Linked DNA regions of Oryctolagus cuniculus. The protein of the gene in region 6 purifies or fractionates together with the protein of the main gene of each other region. This does not show direct contact. Links are inferred from orthologs where the notes say so. Each region holds a gene or a part of one and is shown on either strand. Other genes may lie near its edges.

Region 1 (4,043 bases), on a different chromosome or scaffold from region 6:
GTAGCCTAAGTAGAGCCCATCAGACACCCAATCAAGAGCCGGAAATGACAGGGCACTTCTGTACACAATTTGCATCCTAATTGTAGGTCCGTTAGCTGGACCAGTGGTTTGTATCCCAGACCCACAAAAGTGAACAGGAATCCCGGTAGTCTTAATGCCTGGTGGTGACGGCGGTGGAGGAAGACAGGCACTGGGGCAGGGTAGATGCTGTGGAGAGTGGTGATTACGGATTTAGGCCCCGGAGTCAAATGCCTGTACTCACATTCCGCTCTGTAAGGCTCTGGGCAACGTAAGAAGTAATATCCACTTCCTCCCACGAACGCGCTGTAAAGAGTTAAGTGTGATAACCCACACTGAGAGCAATTAGCAAGCGCCAGCCCAGAATAAGCACTCACTGTGTGTGCCGGCCTACAGCGCCCAGGCCTCCCAATCCACCTGGTCTGAGAAGCACCACACTCACGCCGGTTAATCAGCTCACGCATTTAATCAGAGGATTTCGGCAGCTGCAGGGCCGTGTTTCCATCCATGATCTTCCCCGCATATCTAGCCCGAGTTCTTGTCCCATTTGTAGAGGGCAGGCTCCCTTTCTGGCTGCGTCCCGGGGCAGCCCCTCAGGCTTCGGGGTCTTTGGCCACACGGAGCTCTGCCCGTCACAGGGCTTCAACGAGGAGGTCCGTTCGGCCTGGGCTCTTCGTAGTGGGACGTCTGCAGGCCGGAAATCTGAGTCAGGGTTTCGAAGCTGTGCCCAGTTCCCGGGATGACTCCTCAGCGCCGAAGCCACTGTACAGTCCCGAAGCGAAAGTAGGCGACCTCGGCCCGGGCTCAAGGGTTTGCGCCTGGACCCCTCTGGCTCCCCGGTGGTGTCCCCGGGCGATCCCGGAGGCCACGGCGTAGTTCCTGTGTGAAGGCGTCTCGGAATCGCGCGGCGCGACGACCCAGCGAGCCGGCGGGCCCCGCCGCGAGGCCCCGCAGACGGCGGGCCGCGTCCTGGCCGCGCAGCTGGGCCTGCAGCAGCGCGAAGGCCGTAAGCTGCGCCGCACGCCGGATGGGCCGAGACTCGGCCAGCCGCTCCACCAGCTGCGGGCTGTGCAGCAACACAGCCAGCAGCCGCCGAAGAACCATCCTCGTGAGAGCGTCCCGGAACCAAGAGCACGCCTCCCTCGTCCCCGGACCGGCGGCGCTGGGCCGCGGACTGTGTCCGCCTCCGCGCCGTCTGATGACGACACTGCCGCGCTCGGATTGGTCTGGAGACTCCCACTGTGCGCCGCGTCCGCGCGTTTCCGTTTCCGCCGCCGCCGCTGCTGCCGCGCCGCCGCCCCAGTCCGGTTGTTCTCGGGAGTCGGCGCGTCGTTGTGCAGCTGTGTGAGCTATGTCGGGAGGCCTTCTGAAGGCGCTGCGCAGTGACTCCTACGTGGAGCTGAGCCAGTACCGGGACCAGCACTTCCGGGTGAGGGAGCCCGGGCCGCGCGACGGGCAGACCCTTGAGCCAGGACGCTGAGAAACGGTTTGCTCTTGCACATTTCTGCTGCCCCGAAACGGGCCATGGGTCCCCGGTGCCTGCTGGGGAGGCAGCGATGTTGGAGGGGACCCCACTCTGTTTCCGAGAGAGAGAGTTTGAGATTCGCTTTCCCGTTGCCTTGCAGCCGCTCCTCGTGCGCGGCCGGCGCAGAGGGCTCGAGCGGCGTCGTCAGCGCTGGCTGCTGTTCCTGCAGGCCGTGCGTCGGGAAAGTGACTTGTGATGAGGGGAGAGACTTTTTCATTGCTGGAGCGTGTGGAGGCGCCTTTCTGACACACATACCGTCCCCCGTCGGTCCCCCCCCCCCCCCGGTCTTAAATAATCGGCCAGTGTTCTTTGACGCTTCGGATCCTTTTTAAAATTTTTTGTTAGTGGCTCTAACTGGTGGGTGGGCGACACAAAATTGAGTCCTGTCTCTAACGTCGGGGAGAGTTCGGAGTGGGGTGGCAGATCGACCACCTAGAGGATGCCCGCGTGTTTAGATGGAAGAATGCTGGATTTCAGAAGGGGGGTTTTAGGCTGTATTACAACATACTTTGGGGAAAGGGGGCAGCTGCAGATACTTAGAGATGGGCTTTCCCGGTGACAGCGGGGATGGCCAGAGGTTGCGGCAGAGCAGCACTCATAACCTAATTACTAGGGAAACTATTGAACACCGTGTCGCAGTGTTTCGTGTTCCGTTAGGCGAGCTGGGGAGTGGGGGAGGCTGTTGCAGGCATTTGGGGAGTGAACCAGACTGCTTCTTTAAAAATCAGTGTATATTATTACATAGTCCAATTGGTTTCCTATTTGAGAAATTGGTTCACTCCCCAAATGCCTGGGAGACAGGAACTCAGTGACTTGAGGCCTCACCCATTGCTTCCAAGGGTGAGTATTAGCAGGAAGCCGGAATCAGAAGCGTAGCTAGGGCTTGAGCCCAGGCAGTCTGACCAGGATGTGGGTGTCCTAACTGCTGTGCCAAACACCAGCCCTCAGTTTTCTTGTGGTGTGAGTTTAGATGGTTTCGCTATTTCTCTAATTACCACTGAATGCGATCACATAAAACTGTTGTTCTAAGTAATGCGCTATAGAGCATTCAGGGACAGCTTATGCAGAGTGATTCTTGGAGTGAAGAGAACTGATCAGCACTACATGTAGAGCAGTGACTGAAGAAGTGAGGGCCACTGGAACAGTGCCCTGTGCGTGCTGGTGTGGATCTACTCATGGCCCTACAAGCTGGAATGCCACTGGTGTGGTTATCTTGGACTCTTAAGCTAGATCAGAGCGGCGGGAGAGTAAGTCAGCTGATGGGCCTCATATTTAATCACATGTATCCTTCCCAGTATGGAGGCTAGAAGGTCCAAAACAGCCATATATGGGTTTCTTTCTTAAAAAAAAAAAAAAAAGATTTATTTGAGAGGGAGAGATAGAGAAAAAGGTCTTCCATCCGCTGGTTCACTTTCCAAATAGTCGCAACAGCTGGAGCACAGCTGATCCTTCCTCCAGGTCTCCCACGGGGGTGCAGGGGCCCAAGCACGCAGGCTGTCTTCTGTAGCTTTCCCAAGCCATTAGCCAAGACCTGGATTGGAAGAGGAGCAGCTGGGATACAAACCAGCGCCCTTATGGGATGCCAGCACTGTAGGTGGAGACAGCCTATTACACCACAATGCCAGCACCCAAGATACTGGTTTCTGTGAAGGCATCATGTCTAGTCCATGATGAGCCATCTTGTCCCCAGGGATTGTCAGGTGTCTTGGTTAAAGCCAATTATATATTCCTGTCTCTGGTTTATCTTCCAAGTCAGGAACCTCACTAAGAAGATCTTTTTAGTCATCATTATCTTTTTTCCTGAACTCTGACCTTGTAAGTCATCTAAGCCATTGTTGCTTTGACAGTTTTATAAGGGAAACTTGATCTTTGAAAATCCATTTTTCTCTACAGAGAGAAGGGCCCTTCCTTATATACTGGGATTTTTCTTTTTTTTAAGATTTATTTATTTACTTGAAGAGTTACAGAGAGGCAGAGAGAGAGAGGTCTTCCATCCGCTGGTTCACTCCCCAGATGGAAGCACAGCTGGAGCTGCACCAATCCAAAGCCAGGAGCTTCATCCAGGTCTCCCACATGGGTGCAGGGGCCCAAGAACTTGAGCCACCTTCTACTGCTTTCCCAGGCCACAGCAGAGAGCTGAATTGGAAGTGAAGCAGCCAGGACTCGAACCAGTACCCATATGGGATGCTGGCACTGCAGGCAGCAGCTTTACCCACTACGCCACAGGACTGGCCCCTATACTGGAATTTAAACTTGGGCCATTAGAGAAAGATCCAATGCTGAGTATATGGAGTGTGAAAGAAAAAGGCACACTGCTTGTCTGGCAGTCTAATGCAGGAATGGAAAGGTGGCATGCACAGTGTCATTATTGTGAGCCTAACCCTCCCCTCCTGGACCTTGCTTAAGTGCTTTACAGAATTTGAATTCCCCCTCTTATTGGCAAGTTTTTGTGGTGGATTGGAATGATAAGGGAATTTTATTTCCAAATCAGAACTAATGT
Region 2 (3,500 bases), on a different chromosome or scaffold from region 6:
AGTCAGAACACAATCCCAGGCACTCTGGTGTGGGATGCGGGCATTCCAACTGCTGTGTCAAATGCCCACCCCTCAAACTAGAAGTTTAATCAGTCTTTGATTCTTTTAGCTGGAGAGCTGCATCCCAGTGCGCTTTTCCTTAGCAATAAACTATATATCAGAATAATTACAGGAACAACATGAATCAAGTTTCTAAAATCTTCGACACTATCATTACCTTTTCAATACAAAAATAAATACTCTGAAGGCCAAATAGATTCTGGTTGCTTTTGATTTACCTTGTTGAGTACTAATGTGATATGTTTTGAATAAAGTACTATAATGGCCTTCTCCTTGCCCTAGAGCCTTTTGTAATTGAGCCCTTACTTAACCCACCACTTTTGACCATGAAATTTAACAGGTGACTGCGTCTGGATATCTACTTCATGAGATGTGAGATTATTTGACTTGAGATTTCTAAAGCTCTTGGACTCCTGCTATTTCACCAGGACATCTTGGTAAAATAGAAAGCACAAGAGTAGGAGTTAGACTTGAGCTCTCTCTCTGGCCTGGCCACTAACATATGTATGATCTTGGGCAAGGCAATTCTTGCCTGGGTTTCATTACCTTTAAAATGAGGTTGAACTAGATAATTTCTCATTTCTCTTCTACTCCTAAATTCTATGATTTTTAGGGAGAAAATCCCTTCAGCATTCCTGGGATATATATCTAATAGTCCCATATATTGTGAAACTTCCCTATTGACGATAAAGAGGGATGGGGAAGGCTACAAGTAAGTATGTCCTCCTATTTTCTCTAATCTTTAAAAGCTATTCCCAGCAGTAATTCCCAGAAAGGATAGTAATCAATGGTGGCTTTTGCAGAATTTTAGAGAAACTGATCCTACTGCTTTAGCTGCAATTTTTTTTTTTTTTGACAGGCAGAGTGGACAGTGAGAGAGAGAGACAGAGAGAAAGGTCTTCCTTTTGCCGTTGGTTCACCCTCCAATGGCCACTGCGGCCAGCGTGCTGCGGCCGGCGCACCGCGCTGATCCGAAGGCAGGAGCCAGGTGCTTCTCCTGGTCTCCCATGGGGTGCAGGGCCCAAGCACTTGGGCCATCCTCCACTGCACTCCCGGGCCACAGCAGAGAGCTGGCCTGGAAGAGGGGCAACCGGGACAGAATCCGGCGCCCCAACCGGGACTAGAACCCGGTGTGCCGGCACCACTAGGCGGAGGATTAGCCTAGTGAGCCGCGGCGCCGGCCTTAGCTGCAATTTCTTAACTCAAACTTCAGTAACAGCAATTTCAGGTCCTCTGCATCTTCAAATACCATTTTTGAAAAAATATTTGAAGATTGGCTTCCTAAATATCCCATTTTTCACCACAAAACTAAAAATTATCCTAACTTGTGTTACTTTGTTCTACTAAGTGAGTATAATTTACACAAAATGTGAAAGGAATGATCAAGTTGACAGTAGCACCTTGCAAATGGATTTTTAAAACCTGGTAACCCAGATTAATTAAATGGGTAGAATTTTTATCTTTGGAATGGGTATTTCTGAGTCATCCCCATTCATTTATCTAGCTCCTTGAAAAGTAAAATAATCAATATTTCAGGTGCACATAATTCACTCAATCATTTGCTTTGAAATAAGACCCCAGAGTATTGCCTTTTAGTTGTATTTATTGAAACCATGAATACCAGAAATTAAAATTCCAAACCATAGATTTAGATGACTGAATTTCTCATTAAGTTGATGTGTTATTAAGTTTTTCATCCATAAATCTGGACCAAAGAACATGAATGATAACACAACTAGGGAAAGTGCTAACTGAAGATCATAAATTTATCTTTCCATGGGAAGTTATTTCTGAGCTGAGTTCTTTAATATTTCAGTGACAAATTGCCTGTGGGTCAGAATTTGGAGGCAGGGGAGGGAGAGCTAGTCCCTGCTGTTTGAAACTACTTTTGCATGGTGTACTAGGTTTCTATTGATATTTGTCTTATGGATAGGTGAGCGTTTCTGTGAATGTAAACCCTGAGGTTTTTGTCTTGGTTTTTCCCTGACTCCTGTCTGTCTTCATAGGTTCTCTTTGTAAAGAATCCTTTTCTGGTCAAGTTTCTTCTTCATCACTCATGCCACTGACTCCATTCTGGACCCTCCTTCAGTCAAATGTGCCTGTGCTTCAGCCACCATTACCTTTGGAAATGCCACCGCCTCCACCTCCACCCCCAGAATCCCCTCCTCCCCCACCGCCCCCACCTCCTCCTGTAGAAGATGGTGAGATCCAAGAGGTAGAGATGGAGGATGAGGGAAGTGAAGAACCTCCTGCCCCAGGAACAGAGGAGGATACTCCCTTGAAACCTTCATCACAAACCACAGTTGCAACTACCCAGGTAAATGATATTTGACATTCTGAATGGTAATGGGGACTGCAGCATAATTGACTCCATGTTTTTCTTTTATTTCTCAAAGATGTATTTATTTATTATGAAATCAGAGTTAGAGAAGGAGAGACAGAGAAAGAGCTTCCATCTGCTGGTTCACTCCCCAAATGGCTGCAATGGCTGGGGCTGGGCCAGGCTGAAGCCAGGAGCCAGGAGCTTCTTCTGTGTTTCCCATGTGGGTGCAGGGGACAAAGGACTTGGGCCATCTTCTGTTGCTTTCCCAGGCACATTAGCACAGAAGTGGTTTGGAAGTGGAACAGCAGGGCCTTGAACTGGCACCCATGTGGGATGCCAGCAGTGCAGATAGCGGCTTAACCTGCTGCATCACAGTACTGGCCCCTCCAAGTTTTATTTTAGAAAGGTGTGTTCTACCAGGGTCTTTAGCCACTGACCAGAATGTTTGTGTTTCAGAGTTCGGCTGATTCTACCATCTCTAGTTCTCCTTCCATTAAAGCGATAAAGAGAAAAGCTACAGAAATGAGTACTGCAGTGGTTCAGAGATCAGCTACCATTGGCAGTTCTCCAGTCCTCTATAGCCAGTCAGCTATAGCTACAGGTAAGTATGCTTTTTTCGATGTATTGCTTTCCTTGTCTCCAGTATTAGGTGCCATAAATATTTTTGTATTTATTTGAGAGGTAGAGTTACAGTCAGAAAGGGAGAGACAGAGAGAAAGGTCTTCCGTCCACTGGTTCACTCCCCAAATGGCCAAGTGCCCAGAGCTGGGCTGGTCTAAAGCCAGGAACCGGGAGCTTTTGTTGGATCTCCCACATGGGTGGTAGGACCCTAGGACTTGGGCCATCTTCTGCTGCTTTCCCAGGCCATTAGTAGGGAGCTGGATTGGAAGTGGAGTAGCCGGGACTCGAACTGGTGCTCATATGAGATGCTGGCATTGCAGACGACAGCTTAACCTATTAAACCATGATGCCAGCCTCCTCTGTGACTATATGTGTTTGAGTATTTAAAATTTATTTTATTTATTTGAAAGCTAGAGTTACAAAGAGGTAGAGCCAGAGAGAGAGTGGTCTTCCATCTACTGGTTCATTCCCCAAATGGCTGCAATGGCCAGAGCTG
Region 3 (3,992 bases), on a different chromosome or scaffold from region 6:
CTCAGGCCGGCTCTGATTTTGCAAGGTGCACCTCTTCCAAGATGAGCTCATGTGGTTTCCAATCAGTTCTGGCTCTAAGGTGAACCCGACACCAGCGCTCGAACTCGATCCTGCCATTTGCCAGTCACTACCAGCGCCACTGCGGTTACAGAGGTGCAGAATTTGGGTGTAGACGGTGAACTCATTTCAGAAAGGATCAATCCCACTTAGCAGGGGGCAGCCGGCCAGCAGGCCTGCCACAAAGGACACGAACGCCCGCACGCGTTTCTCTCCGCAACTCTGAGGTATTTTTCTTCGTGTTCCACAGCTTCCTTTCTACCCCTAGAAATTAACCCCTACAGAAATTAACCCCCCAACCTCCGAAATCTGACAAAAATAAAGCCACGGTACACGATTTCCCTTTAGGATCCAGTCTCCGCTTGACGTGTCCGCAACGTTCTAAGAAGCCCGATGAGCCTTCATTTTCTAGTCAGTCGGACTTCACCGCTACCGCCCCGGCCTCGGGTCCTCCAGCGTCGCCGTCGCTCTAGGCGACTGTCTCTGCGGCGGGCCTGGTTGGCGTCTCTCTAGCCAGCTCATCCTCTCGATGGTCAGTGCGCGGCTTCCGGTGGCGGGACGCGGGGCCGCGCACGCGGGAAAAGCTTCCCCAGCTAACTCCCGTTCCCCGCGTCCCCGCCCCCCTCCCCCGCATCCCCCGAAGCGCCCACCGCCCGCGCCCGGCCCGTCGCGAGGCTGCAGCTTGAGGAGGTGGGTGGTCGTCGTCCCTGGGCCCCGCTCCCCCGCGGGACGCTCCGAATGGGCCGTTCCGCGTTCGAATCTGCAGGCAGCGGGCGAATCCATTTTAGCAGGAGGGGAGAACCATGAGGGCCAGGATGGAACCTAGCGCTCTGAGCTGGGTTGGGGCGCGGGAGATGTGCACGCTGCGGGCAGGCCTTGGGGTTCCGCTGCTCGTTACCATGGCTCCCGGTGTGGCGCGCAGAGAGGGTGTTGGCTTGGGGTGGTTCTGCGGGCCTGGGATTACCGGGGCTGACCCCCGGAGCACGGCACAGCCGGCCTGTTGGTTCCCGGGCAGAGGAGAGTCTGTGAACCCCCAGGGGCGGCCACCTGGCTCCATCCGTGAGCAGAGCGCGGCGCTGCGTTTCATGACTCTCTCTTGAATTCAGATTCCCAACCTGCTGACCATCTGCACACTCACCCAGGACTTGGGGCCCAGCGCCCAGTGTATTCGGTTTCCCTTGTGAGGCCTAGGGCTCTGCCCAGGCCACCAGGGGCAGGTCAACATGGCAGAGACACTGGAGTTCAACGATGTCTATCAGGAGGTGAAAGGCTCCATGGTGAGAAGGGCTTGCGTTTTTAATAGAGATGGAAGGAGGGAGCGAGCTAAAGTTGATGTACATGAACGAGAGCTTGTCCTGGTGACGTTTCTACTGGGAAAAGGAAGTCTCTGTATAACGTGCACCTGGTGTTTCCCCCCAATAAAAGGCAATTCTGAAAAGTCGCGAGAGTTGTAGGATCTCAGGGTGTGAAGGGACCGTATTTGCTATTCTGTGTTTCAAACGAGGAGACTGATGGCCTGCGCAGGTTCTGGATGCCCGAGCCAGGTGCAGAACCGAGACTTCCTGGACACTTGTGTCTCTTTACTGGTCCTCGCTTCAGCTGTTGCTCCTGCCCTGATCACCTGGCAGTCAAAGTGAATGCTGGGTAGAGCTGCACCCAGGACACGGTCTGTACTGTCCCCGTGCATCTGGGCTCACTTTCCCAACAGAATGACGGTCGGCTGAGGTTGAGTCGCCAGGGAATTATCTTCAAGAATAGCAAGACGGGCAAAGTAGACAACATCCAGGCTGGGGAGTTGACGGAGGGCATCTGGCGCCGGGTGGCTCTCGGCCACGGACTTAAACTGCTCACGAAGAATGGCCACGTCTACAAGTATGACGGCTTCCGAGAATCGGTGAGACGCCCTGTTGCCGTGAGCCCCCTTTTTACCGTGCCATCCTGTCTGCTTTTAGTCTTCTAGAGGGAGTTGAGGTTCCCTCTGGTAGCCCCCGTGGTGCTGGTTTGGCTCCCTGGGCAGGGCCATTGAGGCCATTGAGCAATCAGTGGGTCAGCTCTGAGTGTTCTAGAGCGTTCACAGCTTTTCTGTGTTTTGGTTCCAGAAGATCTGCTTCCTACTGTTCTGGTTTAAATCGTGCTTTCTGCTTGTTTGCTCGTATCCAGGTTCAGAATCTTAGCTGGATGCTTTAGTTCAGGCTTTGCTTTTCCCTCTTAAACTGTTCTGAGTGAAAGACTTAACTTTAATGTCCACTTCTATTAAAACAATGAACACACAAAGTTTAGGAAGTCAGATAACATGGTGAGGTCCAGAAACAGGAATGCCAGTCCCTCTCTTTACTCCTCCCCTAGTCTGAGGTCCAGCTCCCAGGAGCAGCCTCTCTCCACAACCTTTTAAACCATTTCAGAGCTGAGCTGCTGAGTCAGCATGGACTTTTTTTTTTTTTTTTTTAAGACTTATTTATGTATTTGAAAGGGAGAGTTACAGAGAGAGAGAGAGAGAGAGAGATCTTCCATCCACTGGTTCACTCCCCAAATGGCTGCAAAGGCCAGGGCTGTACCAGGCTGAAGCCAGGAGCCAGAAGCTTCTTCTGGGTCTCCCATGTGAGTGCAGGGGTCCAGGGGCTTCGGCCATCTTCTGCTTTCCCAGGCGCCTTAGCAGGGAGCCGGTTCAGAAGTGGAGCAGCTGGGACTTGAAGCAATACCTTTATGGGGTGCTGACACTGCAGGCTGTGCCACAGCACCAGCTCCCTGCATGGATTTTTTGGTAGAAGTCCTATTGGGGCAATTTTTTGGATATAGGTAATGTCAGGACATTCGTGTCGGTTAAGGCCACTGGAGCTGACTGTGGTTGCACTTTCTCCCTTCCACTCATAGGAGTTTGAGAAACTCTCTGATTTCTTCAAAACTCACTATCGCCTTGAGCTAATGGAGAAGGACCTGTGTGTGAAGGGCTGGAACTGGGGGACGGTGAAGTTTGGAGGTGAGTCTTGGGGAGCAGGTAGGATCAAGGGCTGCAGCCTTTCTTATTCTCTTCCTCTGCCACAGTCTCCGGTTTCCTGTCGGGTGGGTTGCTCAATGCACCTGTGGTGTGTCAGGCTTTGTGCCTGGTCTCGGGGTGCAGCGTGAACAAACAGCCCCGGCACCCCGCCCTTACGGAACTCCAGGTTCGGTGGGCTTCTTGTCGATGCAGACGTGGGGGGAGCCTGAGGCTTGAGCAGCCCTCTTCTCACAGGGCAGCTGCTTTCCTTTGACATTGGTGACCAGCCGGTCTTCGAGATACCCCTCAGCAACGTGTCCCAGTGCACCACAGGCAAGAACGAGGTGACGCTGGAATTCCACCAGAACGACGACGCGGAGGTGTCCCTCATGGAGGTCCGCTTCTACGTGCCTCCCACCCAGGAGGACGGCGTGGATCCCGTGGAGGTGAGGCCTCCCCAGGCGCCCCGGTGCAGACGGGGCTGAGCAGGCCATGGGCTGGCCTGCTGCCGGGTTAACAGTGTGTGCTTCGGCAGGCCTTTGCCCAGAACGTGCTGTCCAAGGCGGACGTCATCCAGGCCACTGGAGACGCCATCTGCATCTTCCGGGAGCTGCAGTGCCTGACTCCCCGTGGTCGTTACGACATCCGGATCTACCCCACCTTTCTGCACCTGCACGGCAAGACCTTTGACTACAAGATCCCCTATACCACGGTACTGCGTCTCTTCCTGCTGCCCCACAAGGATCAGCGCCAGATGTTCTTTGTGGTGAGCAGAGCCCCTGGGGGCGGAGGATCCCGATTTTTGTCTGAGGACTTTCTTTTTTTTTTTTTTTTTTTTTTTTTTTTTTGACAGGCAGAGTGGACAGTGAGAGAGAGAGACAGAGAGAAAGGTCTTCCTTTTGCCGTTGGTTCACCCTCCAATGGCCGCCGCGGCTGGCGCGCTGCGGCCGGCGCACCGCGC
Region 4 (3,500 bases), on a different chromosome or scaffold from region 6:
ATGTTTATAAGACCATGGAGACACTGTATTTAAAAGCTATCTTTTGTAAACTTCAGATTGATCATCATGCCATTAGTTATCATCTTTCCCATCTCTTTTGAAAGAACTGACAGGTTAATGCTGCTGTGACCCAACTCTCCAAAATGCCTTTCAACATCAAGTTTAAAGAAAAGCCACTTTCTGGAACCTCTTTTTTGAAAGAGGATTTAGACAAGCTTCATTCAGTGTTTTCTCTCAAAGGGTTAAGTAAAAACAGTGCTCAAGTTTCTGAACTGCATCTCATTAAAGAAACTGAATGGGCTTCTGTTGAGCTCAAGGTTCACTAAATTACAGGCAAGTGGCATACAATAGAAGAGGGGTTTAGATTTTAAGTCTCTCTCCAGAGAGCTAGGAATTTGCAAATATTACCTTCTTTTAACATGTGATCTAGTAATACAGTAGTTAACTTTCATAAACTTAGCAATTTTCAATGGAACATCAGAAGATAGCTTTCTTATCTTTGTTACACCATTTTGGAGGCGGCCCCTCTATCCCTGGTGGTGACTGACCCAGGCATTAAGATCTACCTATGGCTTGCTGCTTAGATTCACACTGCTTGTGCCTATCAGGGCAAGGTCCCTTAACAATCTCCTTATGTCTTCTTGTGGAAGACAGAAGATAGGAAAAGAGTAGGACAGTTCAGTCTGGAAGAAAAATAAATGCAGTTCTTCCTCACACCTGGGAGCTAAGCTGGTTAATGTGCATCTCAAATTAAACTGCCATCTTAAATGCTGTCTGGACCTAATGGCTTCCTTCTGCCTCCAAGAGAAAATGCAAGACAATATTTTTTGGGCCCCTGTACCCATGTGGAAGATCAGGAAGAAGCTCCTGACTTCAGCCTGGCCGGCCCCAGCCACTGCAGCCATTTGGGGTGAACCAGCAGATGGAAGATCTGTTTGTCTCTCCCTCTTCTCTTTTACTTTGCCTTTCAAATAAAATAAAATCTTAAAAAAAAATTACCATTTGGAATACTAAATGTAACTTATCCTTGAAGATAACCACTAAGGACTTGAACTAGGCACAAACCAGTCACCTGCCCCCTGTGCTAAATTTCTATATTTTTCAGTATGTCTTAAGACTATTATTTTCTAAGATTTTTGGCCTTCCTACCTGTAGCAGCTTCTCTCTCCTCTTCTAATTTGCTGTGGTGGAGAAACCAGATATCCAAGCTTGTTGGAACTGTATAAGAAGAAAAAGGTAAAACAGACATGAGCATTTCTTCAAGGGTATTAATACACGACCTTAAGTGTGTAGACTTTAGGGTATCTATTTTAATTTTCTGAGAACATCTTCCTAGTCTGTGATTCTTAATTTTTCCAGATACAGATCTGAGTAGAAATACTACCTTTACTTAATATTAACATCTTTCTTACTAACTGTATTATAACAAACTTCAATATAGAATATTTTTCTGTCATGTATTTTAATTAGTACTCTATAAAAAGGAAAAAGAGCCCTTTTACCTGCAAAGCACTATGCAGGCACTTTACATGTTAAGATAGGCAGCATCATTCCAATTCTACAAATGAAGAAATGGAGGCTGAGTAGTAAAACCATTTGCTCACTATCATATAAGTAAACAGAGAGGCTGGGATGGAAACCAGGTCTACTCATCTCCAAATTCCATGTTCTCTCTACTAATACAACCTACTAGGCTTTCATTTAACATACTAAAAATATCAAAATTTTAGAATATAAGTCAAATTGGATTACAGAAATGGAACTGCTAATATATATACATATATGTAAATATAAAATAAACCCAATGATTTTTAATACCATAACACATCTCAAAGAAACTGAAGTTCCTTGTATTTCAAGGCAGAAAATTCATACCACATATATTTTAATATGTAACAAAATTTTAACAGACACTACTCAAGAAGTTTTTTTTGAGATTCAAAATATTTATTAGAATCAAGGACTTCCAGCCAGAGCAGCATGGAGGGGGCCATCCAAGAGAGGAAAACCTCAGGAATTTTGTAATTGGTAAACTTTAACCATAATATGGAATATTCACTGAAATGAAATTTGAATCATCTGAATTGAGATCAGAATTCCACAGTTAAAGTAAGTTTTCAAGTAATTATTATTTACTTGCTAACTGAGGTCCTGCCAAGATCTCTTTTATTATTCATAAAAAGTGGGTAAGAATTTGTGATTTTTGTATTTTACTATTTTTGAAAATTATAGTTAACCATTGAACAACATGGCTTTTGCATTGTTTGGTCCAATTTAAAGTGGCCTTATTTTTTTTTTAAAGATTTATGATAATTTGAAGAAACCCAGGGATGAATCATGCCAAAGAGACATTGAAAAAATATGAAAAATGTCATGAATGCATAAAATATATATAGATAACAGCTTATAATGTTCTGCGATAAAATATACACAAATTATAAAAATATAAATTTATCAAAACATACACTTTTTTTTTTTTTTACAGGCAGAGTGGACAGTGAGAGAGACAGAGAGAAAGGTCTTCCTTTTGTCATTGGTTCACCCTCCAATGGCCGCCGCCACTGGCACGCTGCCGCACTGATCTGATGGCAGGAGCCAGGTGCTTCTCCTGGTCTCCCATGGGGTGCAGGGCCCAAGCACTTGGGCCATCCTTCACTACCTTCCCGGGCCACAGCAGAGAGCTGGCCTGGAAGAGGGGCAACCGGGACAGAATCCGGCGCCCCAACTGGGACTAGAACCCAGTGTGCCGGCGCCGCAAGGCAGAGGATTAGCCTAGTGAGCCGCAGCACCGGCCCCAAAACATACACTTTTAGAACCATATATGGTTCTGCCATTTGAAGCCAAGAGAAACGTAAACAATGGTACACAGTGTTGAATCATAACTGCATAAAATTACCTGTAGTAAAATACTGTGCTACTATTGTAATTTTGTAGCCACTTCCTATTGCTGCTACAGCAAGCTCAAGTATTGTTATCTGCTTAAATGCATGGGATGGAATTATTTCCACCTGAGCAGTTCCTCATTCTAGTACTACTATGTATTACAGTAAAAAGTGACCTCTTGTGGTACTCATGTATTTTTCACCATATATAATTTATATAAAATGCAAAGCATGCGATAACTGATTACATTATCAAAGGGCTTTCAGTAAATAGCCGGGCATTAGTAGATAAGTTTTTGGGGAAGTCAAAAAAAGTTTTATATATATTTTCAACTGTATGGAGACTGGTGCTCCGAACACCCATGTTGTTCAAGGGTCAACTGTACACTCATTCTTTTAGAAAACAATGCTTCCCATCAGCCTGAATTTGTGACATTTCACAGAGAAATTGTATTAATCTGCCATAAAAGGAAAACTTACAATGAAAATTATTTGGCAACATACTGCCTAGTTTGTAGTTCCCACTATCTGGTTCAAAGGCAATTATCTAGAAGATTATTTTTAACATATACTCACTGTTCCCAACCTGGTCGACCACCACCTGGACGAGCAGTATTT
Region 5 (2,922 bases), on a different chromosome or scaffold from region 6:
AGTGAACCAGAAAAGGGAAGATCTCACCCTCCCTCTCTGAACTTTCAAAATAAGTAAATCTTCAAAAAACAAAAGAAAACAGCAACAAAAATCTGACCACCATGGTCAGATATTAATACTGCCTAATTTGTTCAGCCTCAAAAGAGAAAGTTCTTTAAAGGGTGAAACTGCTATAAACAGAAATAAAGACCAGCATGCAAACTGTGGGGAAACTCCCACAGCTGGGCAAATGCAGGACAACACCCACGGCATCGTGTCTGTCTATCTCACGTATGCATCCAGTGCTGCCAGACAGAGGTCTGAATCTCTCCTCTCAAGGATACCACTGCAGTTTTTTCTCTCCTGGATCAAGTAGCAAACACTTGATTCCAGTTCCCGCTGTGCAGGAACCAATTGTTCCAATTCCTGCTACGCAGGATGATCTGAAAGATGAAACTCCCCACATTCCTGACCCAGATGTCAATCCCCCAGGAGAGCGAAGAGGGGGAAGAGGAACAAAATTTAACTAAAACGATGGTTTTTTAATGGGAACCAGAGGTATGGTTACAATTACGTAGTCCAACACAAAAATCCATGGGCGATCAGGAGTCGGAAGGTTACAAAATAACGAGGGTAACACTGGGTACAGAAGAAAAGCCGCTCCAGAACCTCAGTCAGGAGCCGGACTAATACGGCCGCTCCCTGCGATCCTGTCTGTGCTCACCCCTGCCAAAAAAAAAAAAAAAAGAGGTCCATTAGGTTTGAGAGCCAGCATCTCCATCCACCCCCTCCCACCGGCGGTGAGCAGCTATCTCATCTCTCATCTAAGGAGGAGGCATCTACAGATGAGTTCCCCAGAGACAATTTTCCTCCCCTGCCCACTAGGTTACTGTCCCATCTCTTTCCAATCTAGCTGCAAAATGAAATCACTGAACAAAACCTTGCTAGCCCATTACTCTGTTCAATTACTCTACTTTTACTCAGAGTCTTACCTGGAGTCCATCTTGCCAGGGCCAAAGCCGCCTCTGTCCCCACCACCCCGGCCCCCTCGGAAGCCCCCACGGTCCCCGCCACGGCCCCGGTAGCCGCCCCGATCGTAGCCTCCTCGGCCACCACGACGGTCATCTCCATAGCTACCCCCTAGGAAAAAAAAGAAATGGATCTCACATACCCATCCAAGCACTCCCCCACCACAGCCTCCCTGCTCAACAACGAAGGCCCATCTGCTCATGAGCAGGTCTGCCCTCCTTACCCATGTGAGAACCTCCTGGTCCCCCTCCTGGGCCATCTGGTTTAGGGGCCTTACACTGGTTGCATTCATTCCTCCAAGAGAAGTTCATGTTCTCACAGGTACTGAGCAAAAGGAAGACAATTAGTTCAGAGGGACAGGAAGTAGGCAAGATCCAGAACAACAGACTCCAGTGCCCTTAGAAATTGGCGTGAGAACACTGAGGCGCCCGAAAGGTGAAGGAACGCACGCTGTGACCGTGGAACCCAGTCCACACCTTCCCTACTACCGTCGGCGCTGGTCAACCACAGTCTACAGATATTAAATAGAAACGCCTGAAATGAACAATTCACCAGTTTTCAAGCTAATGTCATTCAAGGAGCATGATTAAGCGTTATGCTCCTCCTGGCCGCCCTGGCAAGCTGAGAAATCATCTCCTTTGTCCAATGTATGCACACAGCACACACTACCTGCTGACCATTCACTTGGTAGCCATTTGGTTATCAGATTAGCTTATCAGAGCCAAGGGCACACACCACAAAGGCAGGAAAAAAAGCAGATGCACTCACGGATTAGGACACTTCCAGTCCCCGGCTCGCTGCTGTCCCCCGCCACCACCACCTCCACTGGGGAATCCTCCTCGGCCACCGCCTCCACTGCCGCCGCCACCGTAGCCTCCACGGCCCATGGGACCTGGTGCAGATACAGGAAGTATGGGTCCAGGCCCCTTCCAAGCCTGGCTCATCCCAAACCCACACCCCCATATACCCTTTCCAATGGAGCTATCAAAAACACCAGGCAGCGCCTCACCTCCTCGCCCTCGGCCTCCACGACCATTGCCACCACCCCGATTGAAGTCCGCTCGGCGAGTAGCAAACGAGACCTTGATAGGATTCCCAGAGAATTCTTTACCTAAAGAAATAAAGGTGAGAGAAAAGACTTCTGATTCAAGACCTGTGGATCCAAAAACACTCTTGGTACAATCTAAGAGTGCTCTCCTAAAAATATCTGTACTGTGTTAACTGCACCTCCAGTTCCGTCACTGCGCCTCACACGTACCGTCAAACCAGTCAATGGCCGCTTTAGCAGAAGGTGGGTCATCAAATGAGACTGTTGCCTCTCCCTTCAGCTTGCCAGTTTCCCTGTCTGTGTACAAATTAATCATGGGCTGTCCTGTTTTCTTGTTTGTCTGAAAGAGCAAAATGAGAAAACAATGATTTCCGAGACTATAGTAGGTATCCTTCATTATCTCCAAGTCATGGTTGGTTCCAGGACCCCCACCATCTTTGTATATTCAAATCCCTCTTAAAATTGTACTTGCAGGGCCGGCACTGTGGCATAGTGGGTAAAGCCACCACCTGCAGTGCCGGCATCCCACATGGGCACCGGTTCAAGTCCCGGCTGCTCCACTTCCAATCCAGCTCTCTGCTATGGCCTGGGAGAGCAGCGGAAGATGGCCCAAGTGCTTGGGCCCCTGCACCCACATGGGAGACCCTGGCTTCTGGCTTTGGATTGGCCCAGCTACGGCCTTTGCAGCCATCTGGGGAGTGAACCAGCAGATGAAGACCTCTTATCTTTGCCTTCTATAATCAATTTTTCAAAAATGGCATCTGCATGCAATCACATCTTCCCATTTATTTAAATCCTTTCAGGTTACTCAACACCTAATACAACGTACACACTATGCCAACAGCTATTACGCACTACAGTATAAG
Region 6 (4,041 bases):
CCCTGTACCGGACGGGGAACCCGGGGCCCGCGGCCGTGCACGCTCAGACCTCTCTGGTTGCCTGCTGGGCGCGGCACCCCCCACTCAACGGAAGGAGCTACTGCTCCCATGGGGAATTGAGCCCCTCTCCCCCACTTCTTCTTCTTCTTCTTTTTAAAGATTTGTTTATTGGAAAGGCAGGGTTACAGAGAGAGAGGAGAGGTCTTCCATCCGCTGGGTCACTCCCCAATTGGCCACATCGGCCGGAGCTGCGCCGACCCAAAGCCAGGACCCAGGAGCTTCTTCCAGGTCTCCCACGCGGGTGCAGGGACCCAAGCACTTGGGCCATCTTCCTCCACTGCTTCCCCAGGCACATCAGCAGGGAGCTGGATCGGAGGAGGAGAACTGGAACCAGCGCCCACATGGGACGCGGCACTGCCGGTGGCACTGCAGGCAGCGGCGTTCCCGGGGCTCCGCCGCAGCGCGGCCCCTCCTACGTGTGACCAGCGCTTCGACAGCACAGGAGGACCCAGTTCTAGAGTGGTCTGCGGAGCTCGTTTTCGGAACCCAGCACAGACGTGTGTTTCTTCTGCGCTGACCCATCGGTGTCCCTCGCGCAGCCTCTGACACGCTGCCCACACGCGTGACGCTCGCTCATCTGCAGACTACAGTGACGACCTCACGGACCGTCAACACAGGACATCACTGTCTGGCATTCTAGACTTGTCTCACGTTCAAACATTTGTCAAAGCAACACGAGTCCAATAAAGAAAACCCAGGGAGCCAACCGCACTGAGCCCACAGGAGGCACTGCTTGAGTCACCCCCTAGGGGACGGCCGCTGGGCGCTGACCAAGCGACCCGGGCGCAGACGGCTCTGCCCGACTCCTGCGCGAGCCGTGAACGGACCCAGGCACCTGTCGTCATCCGAGGCAGCCCAGCTCCGCCATGCAGCCCCACGGGGACCTGCCAGAGGGGAGCACCACTCCCCAGACTAACACGTCTTGCCTGGGTACGCAGAGCACTGCTCCCTGACCTGTCCCTGCCCCCGCGCTGCCCCGCGGCTCCTGTGTGCAAAGGCTGCCGCGAGACCCTACCCCACAGGGCGCGGGCAGGGCCAAGGCCCACTTCCGTGTTCCCCGGGCTCACATCCAGACCGGGACACCTGTCAGACAGAAAGGGGCTCTGTGGGCGCTCAGCGCCCTCGACACACGGCCCCCAAGGAGGCCCCGACCGGCTTCCCGGGGAAGAAGCCGTAGGGTCTCCACGGACCCTCCTGGGACTGTGCTGCCCAAGCAGAGGCTCCCGCCAGCCAGCCGCCACCAGCAGCCCACGCCACACCTTGCTGGCGACGGGAGATGGCCGAGTCCCCGGTCCTTGACTCTGGGCATCAGTGTCCTGTTTTGAGACGAACGCGGCTTGGCCGATACCCCAGCGCGCGCCCCACAGCCTGCGAGGTGCAAAGCACCCGGCGGTCTCCCGGCAGGCCCTGCGCGCTCCAGTGCTCTGCTCCAGGGCAGCGAGCCGGCCTCTGCAGACACCCCAGCAGCAGGAAGGGCCGGGAAGTGCCCGCGCGTGGACAGCACCTTCCTCCTCACCCGCGCGCCGGGGCCTGGGGGTCTTCCTCCCTCCAAGTCAGAAGCTGCAGCGCACCCGTCCACAGCCTGGGCGGAGCGAGCCTGCCCTGCTCGGGCGGCCAGCAGTCCCCACCGCACAGGTCCAGCGGGCTCTGGCGACCGAGGACAGCCGGGCCGAGCCCTGAACGGAGCCGCCCATCTGAACCGCTGCCTCGCGTTCTGACCGACGACCCCACGCAGGCACGGGGCCTACAGGACGGGGGCCGGTGTCGGACGCCAGGGCCACCGACACCGGCCTGCTGCCCGGGGCAGGGCCACGGCGCGCCCGTCTGCTCTGGGGAGAACCCACGAAGCCGCCTCTGCAGCGTGGGGCATTTCCCACGGAGACTGTGGGGCGCGAGCGTGCTGGGACGCGCTCAGACGACAAGCGTCAGGGCAGGCTGCGAGCCGCCTCCACCGGGGCTGGGAGGCGGGAATCAGCCAGGTCCCGGCCGAGCTCTGCGAACGCGGACCTCGGCACCGGGAAAGCGACGGATCAGAGTCCCGCACCCCGACGGGACCCCCGCACTTGCGAAGCCAAACTCTCCGTCTGTCCAAACGGGTCCGGAGGCCGACGGCCCTGGAGGAGCCGGCTCCGCGAGTCAGGAATCGGGCTCCCGCCAGGGCACGGCCGCAGGTCGTGAGGGCTGAGGTCCCCCCCAGCGCCAGCGGCCCCGGGGCCCCGAAGCCGCGGGACCGAGTTCCACGGGCTCCGCCGGGCTCCAAGTTCTCCGAGCGCCCACGGGCGAGCCGCGCCGGCCACTCCGGGCGGGCCCGCGCGCTCCTCGCGCCGCGCGCCGCAAGCATGTGCCGCGCGAGTGGCCCGGAAGAGAAATGACAGCTTCGGCGAAACGCACACCGCGGCGCGGCCCGGCCCGCGCCGCCCCGGCACCCACTTCCCGGCCGAGAGCCACGCCGCGGCCGCGGCTGCGCACCGCCGGGCCCCGGGCCTCGCTCCCGCCGCCGCGGCCTGCCCGCCGCCCGCCGGCCGCTTACCTCAGCGCGAGGGCGGGGAGGAGGCCACGGCGCCGCTGGAGTCGGGGCGGCGCGGAGAAGACGCTGCTTGGCCCTTCCGCTTCTCACAGGCTCCGGCTTTCGGGGCGGCGCGGGCGGAACAAACGGGCTCCACTACCCGCGGAGTACGGCCATTGTGCGACGTCATCGGGCCGCGACCGCCGTCCGGCCGGCCGGCGGGCTTCCCTCTCTGGCCCCGCCCCCCGCCGCTTCCTTCCGGCCTCGACGCGGGCGCCTCGGCGCGGCCCCGCGCGGCGCGCTCCCGCCGAGCCTCCCACTGCGCAAGCGCAGCCTGGCGCCCCGCCCCTCCGGGGGCGGACCCGGGCCCGCGCTGTCCGACGGCGCCCGCGAGGGGGCTCCCCGCGCCGCCCGTTCCCGCAGGGGCGCCGGGTGCGGTGCGTGGGTGCGGCTCGAGGCGTGCTGGAGGTTCGTCACGAAGCTTAAAGATCTTTTTTATTTGAAAGGCGGAAGGAGTTCCCGGCCCCCGGCCTCCCGAGCGCGCGCAGCCACCGGGAGCCACGCCTCCCTCCGGGCGTCCCGCAGGGAGGCGGGGGCTTGTGAGGCAAATCGGCTTTTCCCCAGAGGGAGCGGATGGCGGGGCTTGCCCCCGGTCCGAGACTTTCCAGGACTCCCCACGATTATTGAGTTGGCCAGTTTCTGCCAGTTTTTCTGACTCCCTCCGCCACGTCGCCTGCTAGGTTTGCCACGCCCCCATCCGACTGAGCCTATGAGCAGCGGTGTGGGCTTGTGCCTCCACCAATCAGGACGAGGGGGCGTGGCCACCGCGACGACATAAAAGGGATCGGCCTGCGGGCGGCTCCCCGGGGTCCTCGCCGGCCACACTGTGCGGCCGGGGGTCTCTATGAGGCTCGGTCCGGGATCCCCGCCCTCGGGTGCGCGCCGAGCCGCCCCCTCGCTGGGAGACGCGGGTCTGCCCTGCGGCTGCCTCGGATCCGGGTCTTCCCGGGACTGAAATCCCAGCCGCGCGGGCTGGGCCCCGGCCCGGGCCAGGACGCCGTCGTGTGACGCGGCCCCGGGTGGTCGGCACGTCCCGGAGGCGGCTGGAAGGAACGGGCCTGCGCGGCGCCCGAGATGGAGAGGCGCTCGGGCCTCCGGGCCGCCTCGCTGACCACGCCCAGCAGCACGGCGACGAGGGTCCCGACAGAAACGCGAGACGCCCCCGGGAGTCGGCCCGACGACGAGCCGCAGCCGGTGAGGACTGGGTCTGGCAGCTGCCAATCCGGCGTGAGTGACAGGACGCCCTCCCGCTGAAGGCTCCGCTGCTCGGACGGGAAGTGCCACAGCGTTAGGGGTGTCCGGAACCGCCGACCAGAGTGAGGCCAGAAAGTGCTCCCCCTGCTGCGGTCCCCGGGGTGGGTCCTGGGTTGGGTAATGCTCTTTGACTGCTCTGAGCTTCCAGAGCTCAGAAGAAG
Region 7 (4,220 bases), on a different chromosome or scaffold from region 6:
CCACCCTGGAGAAATGTTCCACGTGCTCCCAACCTATCCTGGACCGGATCCTGCGGGCGATGGGGAAGGCCTACCACCCCGGCTGCTTCACCTGCGTGGTGTGCCACCGTGGCCTGGACGGCATCCCCTTCACCGTGGACGCCACCAGCCAGATCCACTGCATAGAGGACTTCCACAGGTCAGGCCCCGCCGCCTTCCCTGCTCGGGGGTGGCTGGCTTTGCCCACCCTGGGCTCAACTGTCGGCTCTCCCCTACACCCAGGAAGTTTGCCCCGCGATGCTCGGTGTGCGGCGGGGCCATCATGCCTGAGCCAGGGCAGGAGGAGACGGTGAGAATTGTTGCCCTGGATCGCAGCTTCCACGTCGGCTGTTACAAGTGCGAGGTCAGGGGGCCAGGGCGAAAGCCAGGGGTGTGCAGCAGGGGAAGGGAGCCTGGGGGTCCTGGGGCTGACCGGAAGCTGCTGTTTCTTTCCCGACAGGAGTGCGGGCTGCTGCTGTCGTCCGAGGGCGAGTGCCAGGGCTGCTACCCGCTGGATGGGCACATTTTGTGCAAGGCCTGCAGCGCCTGGCGCATCCAGGAGCTCTCGGCCACCGTCACCACCGACTGCTGAGGCTCCCCGGGGTGCACCTGCTGCCCGGGCCTGTTCCGTTCCCCGTCGTCACCCTCCCCGACACCTGCCTTTGCAACTTTGTTACCAAACGTTGTCTCCTCTCCCTCCAAACGTCCTGAAATAATAATCTGGGAGTTCACAACCCGCCACGTCTGCTGTCCCATCTGATTGTCACAGTAGCAGCGCAAGCACCGTTACTGTTTTATCACACAGATGCAGTGTGGGGTGATTCTCAAATGACGGAACCGAGATCGGGACCCGGGTCTTCCCAGCAGCTCTGGTCCAGTTTTATTTTATTTTAGCCACTGTCCTCGCGCCAGGGGGAAGCACCACCTCCCTACTGTGCAGCCCCGCATCCGGGCCAGATCCGCCCGCCTGATGCTCAGAGCCCTAATTAACCCTGCGGCCTGGCGCCTTTGCCAGGAGAACAACGGGTTCTGCAAGTAGCGCATGCCGAGGTCTCATCAAAGCGAACAGAAAATGGTGGGAGGAGGCGCTTTAAAATGGTCGCTTCCGTCCCATTCCCTGAACGCCCACGCTCCCGCGCGAGGAGGGGGCGAAACCACCGGCCGCCCTCAGGTCAGCCCGCGGAGGGCACCGGCTGCAGGGGGAAGTGGCTCGGACTCCGGGAGACTTCGGGGTGCGACCTCGGGCGGGGTGGGGGGGCGGAGAAAGCGCTCCCGCCACCGCCGGAAGACTGCCGCCCTCCCCGGTCCGGCCGGGCTTCCGTAGTTCTCTCTCTGGAGCGCGCAGTTCGCATCCCGGAAAGCTCGCGAGATCTCCGTGTCCCCGCCCCCTTCCCATCACGCCCTGCTCTCCCCGCCTTCGGCGCCCGGCCTTGGTTCTAGTTAGGGCCGCGCGAGTAGGAGTTTGCGGCTCCGGGCCTTGTTCTGTGGTTGACGCAGGCGCAGCGCGAGTGGCGCGCGCCCGCCCATCCTCGGTCGCCCCACTTTTCCTTCCCCCAACCCCCGCTGTCTGCGGCCCGCTCGCTGAGCGCCCCCCGACCCCCGCAGCCCCTCGCCCCGAGACCAAGCCTGCCTGGACGCGCGACCAACGGCCGCCGCCGCTCCCAGGTGGGGGAGGGGAGGCGGGGGTGGGCAGGGGCGCCCGGGGGCGAGCGCTGCCCGCGATGGCGGGGCCGGCGGCCGGCGGCTTGGGCGGGGGGGAGGCGGGCGCGCGCGCGGCGCCGGAGGAGGGGTCCTCGCTGGGCTGGTCCGCGCCCGAGCCCCTGACCGGCTCTCCTCCCCGGACCCCAGGCCCCCTCGGACCGCGCCATGGGTGACAGTGACGACGAGTACGATCGAAGGCGCAGGGACAAGTTTCGAAGAGAGCGCAGCGACTATGACCGTTCCCGCGAAAGAGACGAGAGGCGTCGAGGGGACGATTGGAATGATCGGTGAGACCCTCGCCCTGGGCTGGAACGCCGGCTCCCTGCTCGCTCCGGGGCGGGGGTGGGGGAGGTCGCTCGGTGGCCGGTTTCCCGCGGTCCGGCCTGCGTGCTGGGGGGCGAAGCCCCGTGCAGAGGCTGTGCGTTGGGTTGATGGTGAGCTTTGCCTCGGGCGCCTTGGGGAAGTCGACCTGGGTGCAGAGGGGCGGTCAGACCGCTTCCCTGGCCACACTAAGGAGTCGGTTCATGGGGACCGTTTTGCCTAAAATGCCGGGGGAGTTGCGTGGGCAGCGCCGTTGGGTTCATGGATGAGCTCCTGGTGAGCCTCCTGGGGTGTCCAGCTTTGGTTACAAGTTAGATGGGGCAGCACGCATATGAGTTGATGGCGAGTGCACGGCGGTGGCTCCGTCTGGGAACGTTTCCATAGAGGAAGCGTGAAGTGACTTCTCCTAACGGTGTTCCTTCATTGAGTGGGGTGCTGGAAGGGGGCTTAGGGGCTGATGTTGAGGTGTAGCGGGGTGAGCTGTCCCCCACCGGTCCCCGGCTGCTCCACTTCCGATCCAGCTCCCCGCCGGTGAGCCTGGAAGGCAGTGGGAGATGACCCGCGTGGGAGACACGGTTTTGGATTCCGGGCGCCTGGCTTTGGCTGGCTCGGTCCTGGGTGTTGCAGCCGTGTGGTGAGCAAGCCGGTGGACTCTGCCACTCTGCCAGACCAGCCAACAGGTCACCCCTTGTTTTGCTGGGTGTATTCATTCATTCATTCATTCACTCATTCATTCTTTAAGATTGGTTTCTTTCTAAGGTAGAGTGACAGAGAAGGAGAGACGGGAAGATCTTGTCTCTGGTTTGTTCCTCAGATGACCACAGTGGCCAGAGCTGGGCCATGCCCTCGAGTGAACCAAGGGCTCAGACAGCGGCCCCTCCTCAGTATTTTCTAAGGTGGGGGGGAATTGGTGATGAGATGATCACTCTTACAGGCTTGTGGTCTGGAGCTTAGGGTGGGGAGCACAGCGCCCTTGGGCCCACGCCGCAGGTATGCGTGCGTGAGATGTCGGTCCAGCTGTTGCCAGGGCAGTGCTGGTGGGACAGCTCGGGCAAGTGACGCCAGCCGCACTGGGCAGGTGGGTGGGACTTCCTGGACGGTGAGGAGTTGTGGGTCGGGTGCTGGGTGCGGGAAAGAGCACGTGTTCCGGGGGCTTGGAGTCGTGGTTCTCGTGTGCCCCAGGCCCCGCGGGTCTGTGAGGTCACAATCACCTCTCTGAGAGCAGGTGTCTGGTGAAGCGGTCAGGCCGCTGGCTGGGATGCACGGGTCCCTCGTCCGATGTTGGGGTCTCAGCTGCTCTCTCCTGCTAATGCACACAGTGGGAGGCAGCAGGTCCTTGAGTCCCCGCCACCCGATCAGAGACCTGGATTATGTTCCTGGCTCCTTGCTGGCTGGCCCAGGTCCCGTTTTAGCAGGCATCGGGGGAGTGAACCAGCAGATGGGCAGTCTCTGTCTCTTTGCCTTTCAAACAGAAGTAATTAAATAAACCTAAAGTGTTACTTTGTGTCGTTGACGTCTGCACTGCTGGTGGCAGCACCAAGGAACACCGTGATGCCAAAGTGTGGAGAAAGCCAGTGTCACTCAGTGTCCTTGTCCTAAAGCTTAATAGAGCCGGCGCCGCAGCTCCCTAGGCTAATCCTCCACCTAGCGGCGCCGGCACACCGGGTTCTAGTCCCGGTCGGGGCGCCGGATTCTGTCCCGGTTGCCCCTCTTCCAGGCCAGCTCTCTGCTGTGGCCAGGGAGTGCAGTGGAGGATGGCCCAAGTGCTTGGGCCCTGCACCCCATGGGAGACCAGGAGAAGCACCTGGCTCCTGGCTTCGGATCAGCACGGTGCGCCTGCCACAGCGTGCCAGCCGCAGCGGTCATTGGAGGGTGAACCAACGGCAAAGGAAGACCTTTCTCTCTGTCTCTCTCTCTCACTGTCCACTCTGCCTGTCAAACAAAACAAAACAAAACAAAACAAAACAAAAACTTAATGGAGTGGGCTTGACCCACGGCCTGGGAAGTGGTGGGCGCAGCGGCGTCCTGAGCTGGGGCACCCGGCAGGCATCTGCTTGAACTAAGAGAGCAGCGTGGGGAAGTGAACCTCCCTGTGCGGACAGCCTTGGGGAACGGGTGTGTGCCAGGGCGAGCTGGCCTGCGTCGGGGGGGGGGGGGGGGGGGGGCGTGCAGGCGTGCAG

Evidence for each region.
Region 1: the proteins of ZC3H18 (region 6) and NCBP2 purify together in Homo sapiens (co-immunoprecipitation; 3 studies listed by BioGRID and IntAct, with this or other methods). This does not show direct contact. The link is inferred for Oryctolagus cuniculus from reciprocal best matches to the Homo sapiens genes ZC3H18 and NCBP2.
Region 2: the proteins of ZC3H18 (region 6) and FNBP4 purify together in Homo sapiens (affinity purification with mass spectrometry; 3 studies listed by BioGRID and IntAct, counting the BioPlex papers as one, with this or other methods). This does not show direct contact. The link is inferred for Oryctolagus cuniculus from reciprocal best matches to the Homo sapiens genes ZC3H18 and FNBP4.
Region 3: the proteins of ZC3H18 (region 6) and SSRP1 purify together in Homo sapiens (affinity purification with mass spectrometry; 3 studies listed by BioGRID and IntAct, with this or other methods). This does not show direct contact. The link is inferred for Oryctolagus cuniculus from reciprocal best matches to the Homo sapiens genes ZC3H18 and SSRP1.
Region 4: the proteins of ZC3H18 (region 6) and RBBP6 purify together in Homo sapiens (affinity purification with mass spectrometry; 3 studies listed by BioGRID and IntAct, counting the BioPlex papers as one, with this or other methods). This does not show direct contact. The link is inferred for Oryctolagus cuniculus from reciprocal best matches to the Homo sapiens genes ZC3H18 and RBBP6.
Region 5: the proteins of ZC3H18 (region 6) and FUS purify together in Homo sapiens (affinity purification with mass spectrometry; 3 studies listed by BioGRID and IntAct, with this or other methods). This does not show direct contact. The link is inferred for Oryctolagus cuniculus from reciprocal best matches to the Homo sapiens genes ZC3H18 and FUS.
Region 7: the proteins of ZC3H18 (region 6) and SRRT purify together in Homo sapiens (co-immunoprecipitation; 4 studies listed by BioGRID and IntAct, counting the BioPlex papers as one, with this or other methods). This does not show direct contact. The link is inferred for Oryctolagus cuniculus from reciprocal best matches to the Homo sapiens genes ZC3H18 and SRRT.

The regions. Positions count from the first base shown.
Region 1 is NC_091435.1:83,418,382-83,422,424, reverse strand, and holds the start of NCBP2 (nuclear cap-binding protein subunit 2), read left to right. Parts: upstream 1-1,243; 5' UTR 1,244-1,369; coding exon 1,370-1,447; intron 1,448-3,465; exon of another isoform or gene 3,466-4,043. Other genes in the region: protein NCBP2AS2, read right to left, coding at 823-1,122. UniProt on the Homo sapiens protein: Component of the cap-binding complex (CBC), which binds co-transcriptionally to the 5' cap of pre-mRNAs and is involved in various processes such as pre-mRNA splicing, translation regulation, nonsense-mediated mRNA decay, RNA-mediated gene silencing (RNAi) by microRNAs (miRNAs) and mRNA export.
Region 2 is NC_091432.1:18,281,269-18,284,768, forward strand, and holds part of FNBP4 (formin-binding protein 4), read left to right. Parts: intron 1-2,066; coding exon 2,067-2,377; intron 2,378-2,839; coding exon 2,840-2,984; intron 2,985-3,500.
Region 3 is NC_091432.1:14,784,300-14,788,291, forward strand, and holds the start of SSRP1 (FACT complex subunit SSRP1), read left to right. Parts: upstream 1-1,192; 5' UTR 1,193-1,280; coding exon 1,281-1,334; intron 1,335-1,765; coding exon 1,766-1,951; intron 1,952-2,928; coding exon 2,929-3,034; intron 3,035-3,286; coding exon 3,287-3,477; intron 3,478-3,566; coding exon 3,567-3,797; intron 3,798-3,992. UniProt on the Homo sapiens protein: Component of the FACT complex, a general chromatin factor that acts to reorganize nucleosomes. The FACT complex is involved in multiple processes that require DNA as a template such as mRNA elongation, DNA replication and DNA repair.
Region 4 is NC_091450.1:14,874,402-14,877,901, forward strand, and holds part of RBBP6 (E3 ubiquitin-protein ligase RBBP6), read right to left. Parts: coding exon 3,459-3,500; intron 1,219-3,458; coding exon 1,150-1,218; intron 1-1,149. UniProt on the Homo sapiens protein: E3 ubiquitin-protein ligase which promotes ubiquitination of YBX1, leading to its degradation by the proteasome.
Region 5 is NC_091450.1:6,003,659-6,006,580, forward strand, and holds the end of FUS (RNA-binding protein FUS), read right to left. Parts: intron 2,397-2,922; coding exon 2,267-2,396; intron 2,120-2,266; coding exon 2,018-2,119; intron 1,901-2,017; coding exon 1,777-1,900; intron 1,333-1,776; coding exon 1,232-1,332; intron 1,120-1,231; coding exon 972-1,119; intron 706-971; coding exon 666-705; 3' UTR 501-665; downstream 1-500. UniProt on the Homo sapiens protein: DNA/RNA-binding protein that plays a role in various cellular processes such as transcription regulation, RNA splicing, RNA transport, DNA repair and damage response. Binds to ssRNA containing the consensus sequence 5'-AGGUAA-3'.
Region 6 is NC_091449.1:68,622,366-68,626,406, reverse strand, and holds the start of ZC3H18 (zinc finger CCCH domain-containing protein 18), read right to left. Parts: upstream 2,801-4,041; 5' UTR 2,591-2,800; intron 1-2,590.
Region 7 is NC_091450.1:43,013,073-43,017,292, forward strand, and holds the start of SRRT (serrate RNA effector molecule homolog), read left to right. Parts: upstream 1-1,420; 5' UTR 1,421-1,683; intron 1,684-1,775; exon of another isoform or gene 1,776-1,866; 5' UTR 1,867-1,884; coding exon 1,885-2,006; intron 2,007-4,220. Other genes in the region: TRIP6 (thyroid receptor-interacting protein 6), read left to right, coding at 1-178, 262-382, 479-610. UniProt on the Homo sapiens protein: Acts as a mediator between the cap-binding complex (CBC) and the primary microRNAs (miRNAs) processing machinery during cell proliferation.